Linked DNA regions of Solanum lycopersicum. The protein of the gene in region 1 interacts with the protein of each later gene in a pairwise test. Links are inferred from orthologs where the notes say so. Each region holds a gene or a part of one and is shown in the gene's direction. Other genes may lie near its edges.

Region 1 (3,723 bases):
TATGGAGAATTACAACTGTTTGTTTAGGCTCTTTACAACTTTTTAATGTTATTTTTTCTTTACCGTAGTAGTTAGTTTGATTAATATTCAAACATGTTTAATCGATTCGATATATAAAGTTTATAATATTTTATAGTAATTTTAAATTAATTTATAATAATAATTGATTTTATTAGGTATTTTAATATGTGTATATAAGTAATTTTTGTAGTTATTATGAATCCATAAAAAGTTTAGAATATCAGCTTTAGAAAATGAGTGTTTGGCTAAATTTTTGGAAGAAAAAAATTAAAATGCTCTTTAACATAGTACATGTACCAAAAGTTTTTTATTTCAAAAAGTTAAAGAAATTTAGCTTTTGAACACAAATTGATTGTTCTTTTAAAAAATATTTTATAAATAAATAAATTTTGGAAATTTGACATTAGAACTGTACATTTATCCTTCAAAGGTTTTTAAAACTCTTTAAAAATTTGAGGGACAAGAAACAATAATAAGAGCTTGTTTAAATTGATTTAAAAAATGTATTTACATTTAAAATAAAAAATTACTTTTGGTTTTTAACTTATTTTAAATTATTTTTAATCCTGCGAAATATTTTCTAACTTATTTTAAGTTATTTTTATATTTGTCAAACACTTTCAAAAGTCAAAAATAACTCAAAAATAGATTTGAATAACTTTTAATCTAATCCAAATACTCGATAACTCGTTCGTCAGTACTGTTGAATACTTAGGCTCCTTTTAAATTCAATTTGCAATTTTCTTTGTAAGATTCTTTTAGCAGAGAAAAATAATTAAAGTTTGAAGAAATAATTATATTAATTAATTTTGTCCAAAGACCTTTTTTTTAATGTATCACATATTACTTTTCTGATCTAATTAGAAACCAGGCTCAATAATTAGTGATCATAAATAGATAATCAATAAACAATTTAAATTGTATATACTTACCGAATAAAATATTTTTATACTATTACATCATACTGTCATGTGTTCCTTTTTAAATATTACAAAGAAGGGCTAATATATAAATATCTTTGAATAATTATATCGTTAATACACATCTTAATTAAATTCACAAATAAAATATTTAAAAATTAAATTATAAATTACTTTTTAGTAAACAACAAAAATATTTAGCAAAATACTACAAGACAAAGTTGGGAAGAAGATAGTGTATGAATACCTTATCATTAACTCGTGAAGTTATTTTAAAAATTCTAGACTTAATTTCATCAAATTCAAGTATAATAAAACCCAATATAATCACCATAGAAATTAACAAATCATTCCAAAAAAAAAAAAAAAAAATCTACATGTACCTGAGATTTAAATAAAAATTATTACTTGTATTACTTTAAACTCAAATAAAAGAAAGTTAAACCACCAGAAATAACTGTTAATTTATAATTGTACTATATATATCACTTTCCCTGGTCAGAGTAAAAAAAGAAATTAAAAAAAAGAAAATAATCACATATTATGTGTGTATAAAAGACAACAAGATCAGTAACAGATAAAAACACCATAGCTAGCCAGACCATGTTCTGTTGCATTTCTCATCTGTAGTCTCTCTGGTGTTTTTTCTCTGCACCAAAAACACCTTTCTTACTGCCTCTTCCCCACCCCACCAACTCACAAAATTTCAACTACTGTTCCATTGAAAATGGCTACTTCTCTTCAGTTTTCTTTAGATCATCATCCTATTCCTCAGGAAAATCATCAAACAATGAACCAGACCTCAACGGGAGGACGTAGAAGGTCGAGTAAAAATGGACAGAAGAAGAAGAAGCAACCACAAAGAGGAATGGGAGTTGAACAACTCGAACGTCTTCGAGTACAAGATCAGATAAAAAACAGTACTATCCATGGCGTTCATCATAATCATCAGTATTACTCTAATAACAATTTCCCTAATTTAACTCCTCTTTCATCATTTACCGGCGGTGGTAGTGCTAGTGCTGATCCTGGAAATTATAGTAATTCTATTTTGAACTCTTCACCAGTACTTCAGTTCCCCAAATTGTGTGCAGTGAGCCCTAATGATTTTTTTATGCAACAAAAAGTTGTGAATACTGGGTTTATTGGATCTAGTAGTACAAATCAGTTGATGATTTCTTCTCATGATCATCATCAGTTTCAATCTCAGATGAATCTCTACGGATTTGCAACTTCTAAGCCCAGTACTGAGAAATCAAAGGAGCTGTATCCAATGCCAAATCTGTTTAGCAGCAACAACTCATGTTTCTCCGATCGCTGCCGATCATGCAACAAAGTATGAGTATATAAAACGCAAATTGTTCTCCTTCCATTTTTTTTAATTTAATTTATAATTTTGGTAATTTATTCACATTTTCCTTCTTCGTTATCATAAGAAGAAACGCATGATCAATGGAGAAGAAATTAGCGTTCATATGGAGGACATGATCAGAGAAAAGGAAGATTCTGGAACAAAGCCTTTGCTTCACTCATACAGTTTACCTAGCCATCAACAAAAGGTAAAACAAAAATAAAATTGCACTAGCTAGCCCTAATGTTATTCAATTGTTCGCTTCGAAAAACTGAAAACTAAGTGATTTGTAGGGCGTAGAGATTGTGGCAATCCATAGAAAGGGAAGTTCATCCGCGTTGTCATCCGATGAAGGAGCAGTAATGATGGAGTATGATTTTTTTCCAGAAAAAATCAGCAGCAAAAGCACTAATACTTACAAAAGTTGTTTCGAGAATGAAGCAACGACGATGAATGCTTATAATTCACCAGAATCTTCTTCATTTGCTGCTGCAGCAGCAGCAACTGGAAATATTATTAATGGTGAAGCTTCTTCTGTTACTACAATATCTTGGGCTGCAGATACTACTACTACTACTACACCTACCAGTTCCATTGATCTTTCACTGAAGCTTTCTTGTTAGTTTTTTTTTCTTTCTACAGAATCATTTGAAAAAGTATATGGTTTAATTTCTCTGAATTTTGTCTTTTCACACTTGTGTGAAAATTTATCTGATGAAAAACCCAAACACTACTTTATTTTTACCATTTTGGTTTATCTGAATTAGCTAGTACTACTTGTTATTACTTCTCCAAAATGGAGCAATACATTTTCTGGGTTTTTATTGTATCTATATCTCTTTCTCTCTACTCTTGGGATTGTGTGTCAGTGAGATGTAGATGCTTCACTATTTTTTTTCTTTCTAGATCTTATATTTATTTAAGAGTTCATGATCAATTGTTTCAAATTATGCGGGACGGATTGAAAACAATAACATAGACTAAAATTAGTTTAGATGTATAATAACGTAAGCTGGTCTAAAGATCACGATTATAATATAGTATAAATAACATATCCAAAACCTATCTTTTCTAGAATCTAAAATCTATAAACTCCTTCCTGTCTCTCTATGTCTTAATCTGTTGCAAGTCCAGTGGAAGCATAATCTACCAAAACCCTAGCAAGCTAGTATTTATTATGGTGGGGTGGGGGTGTAATTAAACAAGGGGGTAGGTAATTAATATTTACAAAAGAGAGAGTTTGTATATTTTCCTTAAAAGGGGTAGCCACTAATTAAACCAAAAGGAATACAATAGAAGAGTATCTCTTTATGGGAGTCAAGCATAATATACTGATCAGACACTAAAAAAACAAAAGAAAAAAAGTGCTTTATGGCAGTCTAGAAGTGAGTATAGATGTAAATTATTTTACTTTTTATTATTCAAAATTAT
Region 2 (3,765 bases), on another chromosome or scaffold:
TAAAATAAAATAAAAACTCTTTTATTTTTTTAAACACACCAACCAATCAAATTACATACATCCAATTATATAAAAACATTTAAAATGGGGAGACGTAGTGCCTCATCTCACTTTATTTTACATAAATAGAATAGATAATAATACCAAACTTTTCTTTTACAGAAACGTATCAAAATGAAGTTTCTTGGTTTCTTTTGTTTTTTTTTGTTTAGGACATCTAAATAATCTAATTAATTTGTTTATAACTCAAGCAGATATGTTAGCCGTGTTGGGAAGTTCATCAAACATATTGCAATAATTTATAGATCTTAAACCCTTACTACAACTATTAAGAGTCTCACATCAGCCATTCAAGAGATGAATCATCTCTTTATTATGATTTGAGCAATCCTCACTTCTTGAATTAATTTTTGGGATTAAGTTAAGACGTTCGAGATCTATTTTTTTCCATGCATGGTATATATCAAATCAGGACTCATTTTGATTTTAATTTTCGATATTGAGCCTCCATATACAACCGTGAGTGTGTGGTAAAGGCGAAGGGGTACTGAAGATAGAGTCTCACATATCAGACTTTTAAGATATGAGTGACGATCTCCTTAAATATATATAATTTGGATAATAACTAGTTTTTGCAATTAATTTTAAACCCAAGATTCATTTCTTTGTGATAACATTTGTTACACTAACATTAATTAATTAATACATAGAAATTAAATAGATAGAGACTAGCATTTTTCTTGTAGTCAACTATAGTATACAATTTGCTTTGTTTCAAGAAAGACAAATCCTCATCATATACCTCATTTCCTATATATATACTTTGATATATGTGAAAGAGATAGGAATAGGCCTTATAAATGAGATGAAAGTTACTGTTTAAACAAAACAAGCATGAGCCCAGTCTAGCCAGCCCATCAACCCCATGGGAAACCTGAAAAAATTACTAAAACTTACTAACTTGAATCATTTAAATCAACAATCAATGTGTGCTGTGGATACATGAGAAGGGAAAAAACATAGTCAAACACAGCTCTTCATATATATATATATATATATATATATATTGAAATGTTGTTTTCCGATTAATAACAACCTCTATTCAATACTTGCAGTAATTAAAAATAAGTCATATACATGAATGATAATGTTTTTAGGTTGGTTATAAGTATATATATATACATGACATTAAACGTATCAATACAATTTGTGGCTTAAAATCAAATCTTAGTAAAAAGAGTTTTTATTCTGGAGATATTAAATTCTAGTGATATTAATCTTAGCAGGTGCATGTATGTTGACGTTATTTCTATCTTTATAATAGTCATGGAGTAGCTGAAAAGGCTGTTTCATATCGACCCTCGTCTCAAGTAAATTATTTGTCAAACATATTACTTGTTTCTCTATGTATAAATAACTCAATTCCATTCTAGATTCCTCTCTCACTCCACTTTATAAAAGACAGTAAAAACCAAGAAAGAGATTGAGAAGATCAAGAGGAAAAGATGTCAACATTGAATAACCATTTGTTTGAACTCCAAGACACAATATGCTATGTGCAATGTGGCTATTGTACTACAATATTACTTGTAAAATTCAAATTTATTCATTAATTTAAGTTACTAGTAAACTCATATAATTACTTCTTAATATCATCTCAATTTAAAAAATGCAGGTTAGTGTGCCATGCAGCAGCTTGTGCAACAAAGTAGTAACAGTGAGATGTGGGCATTGCACTACTCTCCTCTCTCTCAACTTGATTAAACCTTCTCTTCATCTCTTTGCTTCCTTCGACCAAACTCATCAGGTTAACTTCTATACTCTAACAATATAATTTATTTTTATATTATTAAGTCAGTTAAAGATAACTATACATAATTAATGTCTTACCTGAAAGAAAAATAAGATAGCTTACCTATTACAACATATCAAAAATTTGAGTACGTATAAATAGATATATTATCGGCGTATATAAGCTAAATTCTTCTTTCTGTACTTTCAACGGCCAAAGCCACCAGAAGTTGACAAGGATGAAACTGATGATGCTAATAAGAAGAATTCAAACTCAGATGAAGAAGATCAATTGGAGAATAATGTTCTTCCACTTAATCAAGTCGTCAATAAACGTAAAGTTTCGTTCTTCGTTCCGATAGAACAAAGTTTCCTTTTGCACCTATTTATACTTATTTAGTGATCAGCCTAACAATTTCTTTGATTCCACTCGGTCTTCCTAGCTAGAAAAAAAATTTGTAATTATTTATTTATTATGTATGTTACTTGTAATAATTATAAGGACATACATGTCTAATTAATCATACTACATTTTTTTTTTCAGCTCCAGAGAAGAGACAGAGAGCTCCTTCGGCTTATAATTGCTTTATCAAGTACATTTTCAGTTTAATAATTATCCTAATTAATTATCATAAACTATCGTAACTATTATAGACTAATAATTATATTATGTTATGTTAAAAATTATTTGACAATATTTAATTTATTATTTTTACAGAGAAGAGATCAAGAGGCTGAAGACCCTATACCCCAACATGACTCACAAGCAAGCTTTCAGTACAGCAGCAAAAAATGTAAGATATACTTTTATTGATTTACCCTTAATAAATATCTTGAAAAAGATAATAGCTCCTAAATATGTTATTGGTTATATGAAATACCATAAAATGCAACTAATTTTTGAATAATTAATTGATTTTTATTTCAGTGGGCCCACTTTCCACCAAGTCAACATAGAGGAGGCTGTAGTCTTGGAGAGAGGAAAATGGCAAAGGTATATACACCCATGGTTAAATGAAATTGGCAATTGAAATTTTTTGCATAATGATTGAAGAAACCTAAGTGATAATCCAAAAATGGACAAACAGAAGTACATTTCATATACTAATGTTTTAACTTTTGAACATTCACATGAAACTAGCTAATTGTATAGCTAAAAAGCTTCTACCAAATATTTTGTATTATTATAACATAAAATTACCGTAAATTATTATGAAATATGTGCGTCATCACTAATTCTTTATTTTCTAGGGAGTAATAAAATTATGACATGTTCTACGCTAAAAAATAATTTCTTGATATTAAAACATGATGACAATAATTTTAATTGGATTGAATAGCTGCCCCAACTACCATACATATCAAAGTATTAGTAATAATATTTCCCTTAATTGGTATCAACGGATTCATTGATGTCTGTTAAAATTAAACCTTTTATATATAGGTTTCTGCTGCAAGAAACTCCATGGTCCCAAGAGATAGCAACGGTTTGATTCCTTGAATGAAAGGCGACTCCGTTTCATGAGTGAAGAGATCTTAATGAACTCGAAATTGAAGAACTGAAGTATGTGATATTTTCTTGCTATTAGTACTGTTGGTTTCAATTTCTATTTGTGTTAAAGATGCTATTGTCAATTAATAGGGTCATTGAAGTTTATGTTTGCAACTTTTCGAAGTTTGAAAGTAGTGACATATATATAATAATAATTTATGTATTTGATGCATTACAATATATATATATATACATAAAAAAATTAACCAAATAATATTTGATGAATCTTTTTATTTTAATTGTTTAGATTAACTTAAATGCAATACTTCAGAATATGCCCATAAATAATTGGAAATATTCAAATATATCCCTAAATAATATAAAATGTCCAAATATACACCAGCAAACTCAAATAAATTAGAGGCATTTCTAATTAATTCCATTTTGCGTATAATAATATATACATTTGCGATTAATGATCA
Region 3 (3,266 bases), on another chromosome or scaffold:
CCTACGACGCCACATTAAAAAATTACATATCTCCATATATCTTTTTTTATAAATAGAATATTACAATTAAAATTTTTAAATACACAATTATTTTATAAAAATCCACTATTCAACAATTGTAATAACGAGGGAAAAGGTCTGAAAAATACTTCAATTTTGATCGAAATTGCTATTTCGATATGAAACTTTATGGAGAACCTTTTAACCTTCCCCACTCCTCCAAACTATTTAATAGTGTATTTTAAAGGTATATTTATGTCCACGTAGACACATTACTATTTATAATTATGTAATATTTTTATGTCCACGTAAATACATATATACCTTTAAAATACACTATTAAATAATGTAGGGGTAAAATGTCTTTTCTAAAATTTGATACTACAACAATAATATCAATCAAAGTTCAAATGTATTTCACATCATTTTCCCTAATAACTGATTATTATTTAATATAATTATTCTACATGTAACCGACAATATCTCACAACAAACATATATATATATATTCAAAATTTTAAATTCGGATGATTAGTCATTTATTTTAATTTGTACTACTACTATAGTTTGCAGAAAAGCAATAAACCCTTTTCTTTTTTTTTTCTTCTAACCCTAGAGTGGTCCTTGTGAGGTTAACAGTGTACCTTCCTTTCTTAGCATCATTAAATAGAATCAAAACTTAAAATTAAAATATGAAACTACTACAATAACTAGCTTCTTGACTAATAGACTGTTAAAAAAAAAAAACTATTCATGATGGAGTAGTCTAAATACGAGAAATTAAATTTCTATTACATTATTATTTGTAGCCTATGGACAAAGAATTATCGCGATTATATATACAAATACTATAAAAGTTTATATACACAGTAGATACATAATACTTAAAACTTTACATTTTTCTCAACCCTAGAATTGAATTACACACGAGTAAGCGCCACGTGGCCTTCTACTTTCCTCTTTTGAGATAATATTATAACATAGTGAGAATCTAACATTGCTTCTTTTTCTACAAACCATAACTTATCCTTGTAAATTTATTCTCTCTTGTTTCTCTTTTGGTCAAATTTTGTCCATAAACTCATTTTTTCCCCCAAGCCTTGGGAGAAATTATTATAAAAGAAGTTAAATGTTATCAAGAGTTGTTAATTCCATGTTGAGATTTTGCTAGCCACTCAAAGATATATATACAAGTTGTAGTTTATCTTCTACAAAACCTAATTATGTAAGTACAATTCATGATTCTTATAGTAGTAATTGTTTATACAAAATTTTAAACATCTATTTTTTTAGATCTTAGTCATTTTTACAAAGTCTTGGGTGTTTAGTGAAATGATTTTGGAGGTTACCCTAATATTAATCACAACTCCAATTTTCCCCCAAAAATTGCACTATGTACACAAGAAAATTTCCATTGATGGAGTTTTTTTTTTTTGTGTGTATAGTATAATTTGATAATATTTTATCTCGATCTAATAGATGCTTAATATTTTTCTTTGATTTTTACTAGATCGATGCTGATGAAGAACGATATATGATATACATATCATGAATTCATCGAGTGGAAATAATTTTGAGACGAAACAAGAATCAAATAATGATAGTAGATTGGCCTCAAAGACGACTAGTGCACCACCATCGAGTACTTCAAGGCAATGGGGAGCTAATAAAAACCCAAGAATAGTACGCGTATCGCGTACTTTTGGAGGGAAAGATAGGCATAGTAAGGTGTGCACCATAAGGGGGCTTAGAGATCGAAGAATTAGACTATCAGTTCCAACTGCAATTCAATTGTATGATCTACAAGACAGGCTTGGCCTGAGCCAACCTAGTAAAGTTGTAGATTGGCTCTTAGAAGCGACTAAACTTGATATCGATACTCTTCCTCCACTTCCTGTACCACCTGAGTACTTCACTCGGTTTCAACAACCATCTCATGAAGAGTTCTCTGATGTCCGTGCTCAATGGTTGAACGCGAACACATCTTATTTGGAACATGGGAGGAACAAGTCAATCGCTTCAAATGAGGAATCAAATCAAGAGGATAATATGTTTACCTTAGGAAATCAACGATCATCTAATTTACCAGGCATGCCTTTCAATTCTTATAACTATCAATGGGATCATCAGCCTAATTCGAATTTGTCTTTAGGTCATTTTGGACATAATCATTCATTTTCATCCCAAATAGATGATGATCAATCTCATCAAAATACTAGTTTCCCTCTATCTTTGGGATCATCATCTTCGCCTTTTCCCTCGAGTTCTCAATTGTATTTCAATCCAATAACAACAACATTTCAACCTATAGTTCCATCTCCTAACTATATAACAAATCATCATCCCATTGAGAGTCATGATCCAAGGGCTAATATGAACCATTTCAATTTCTTAAGCTCAACTACTTCACACAATAATCAACTTGTGATGCCAACTCTTAATTTGATTAGTTCCCAAATGAAACCCTTTAGTCTCAATAATGATCCTAGATGGATGAGTTCCAGAGATGATGAAGATGACGATGATGACGATGATGATGATGATAATCAACCACATGAAGGTCGCGCAATTTGATTCTAAGCCAAGTGGAGGAAATGAATCTTCGTCTTTACTTCAAATATTTTGAATTAAAGTTGTTGTCCTGGATTATAATCATGCTACATTATTCCTTCTTCACAGGTACAACAAATAATTAAAGTGAATCATTCTATTTCTTATACCATATAGGTTTATAAAGTTTTAATCTCTATTCTGAAATATACAAATATTAATCTGTAGTTTTTTTTTTTGGGTGATTCAAGTGGTATAAATCTACATTATTATTGGTATTGGATTAACCTTTAATTTATACAAATTGAAAGTGTGTTTAGCATTAATTTTTTCAATTTTGTTTTTCTTGGATTTGCATCATTAATATGTCATGGTTTAACCGAAATCTCGATAGTAGAAACTCTAATCGAAGCAAAGGTTGGGTTTATTCTCGACTCTCACAACCTTAAGGTAATTGCAAATATGATGCAACAGATCTGGAACTATAGTTACGTAGTCAAGTCAATCAGTTGTTGTTGGTATCTTCTTCTCATTTTTCTTTATTTCATTATCAGAGCTCCGAGAAGTAAGAGATAAAGATGTTGAAGAATATAGTGAAAAATCCATAATAGGATCTAACCACAAAGTATGAATGATTTTAGCCAATAAAAATATTTTATAGAAGGTAAACGAAACTATTCAAGTTCAATTTTGTCATGTAAAATTGATACATAACA

The links.
Region 2: the proteins of SPL (region 1) and INO interact in binary tests that used the Arabidopsis thaliana proteins (3 or more experiments, as listed by UniProt). The link is inferred for Solanum lycopersicum from reciprocal best matches to the Arabidopsis thaliana genes SPL and INO.
Region 3: the proteins of SPL (region 1) and TCP4 interact in a two-hybrid assay, tested with the Arabidopsis thaliana proteins (3 studies listed by BioGRID, with this or other methods). The link is inferred for Solanum lycopersicum from reciprocal best matches to the Arabidopsis thaliana genes SPL and TCP5.

What each region holds. Positions count from the first base shown.
Region 1 is NC_090806.1:68,525,082-68,528,804, forward strand, and holds SPL (SPOROCYTELESS/NOOZLE-like protein), read left to right. Parts: upstream 1-1,109; 5' UTR 1,110-1,668; coding exon 1,669-2,277; intron 2,278-2,377; coding exon of another isoform or gene 2,378-2,380; coding exon 2,381-2,500; intron 2,501-2,585; coding exon 2,586-2,915; 3' UTR 2,916-3,125; downstream 3,126-3,723. UniProt on the Arabidopsis thaliana protein: Transcriptional regulator of sporocyte development. Acts as an adapter-like transcriptional repressor recruiting TPL/TPR corepressors to inhibit TCP transcription factors. Required for nucellus and embryo sac development.
Region 2 is NC_090804.1:448,533-452,297, reverse strand, and holds INO (axial regulator YABBY 4), read left to right. Parts: upstream 1-1,232; 5' UTR 1,233-1,505; coding exon 1,506-1,589; intron 1,590-1,675; coding exon 1,676-1,807; intron 1,808-2,011; coding exon 2,012-2,126; intron 2,127-2,335; coding exon 2,336-2,384; intron 2,385-2,509; coding exon 2,510-2,585; intron 2,586-2,719; coding exon 2,720-2,785; intron 2,786-3,235; coding exon 3,236-3,292; 3' UTR 3,293-3,506; downstream 3,507-3,765. UniProt on the Arabidopsis thaliana protein: Essential for the formation and the abaxial-adaxial asymmetric growth of the ovule outer integument.
Region 3 is NC_090802.1:61,727,002-61,730,267, reverse strand, and holds TCP4 (TCP transcription factor 4), read left to right. Parts: upstream 1-1,049; 5' UTR 1,050-1,225; intron 1,226-1,510; 5' UTR 1,511-1,548; coding exon 1,549-2,574; 3' UTR 2,575-2,757; downstream 2,758-3,266.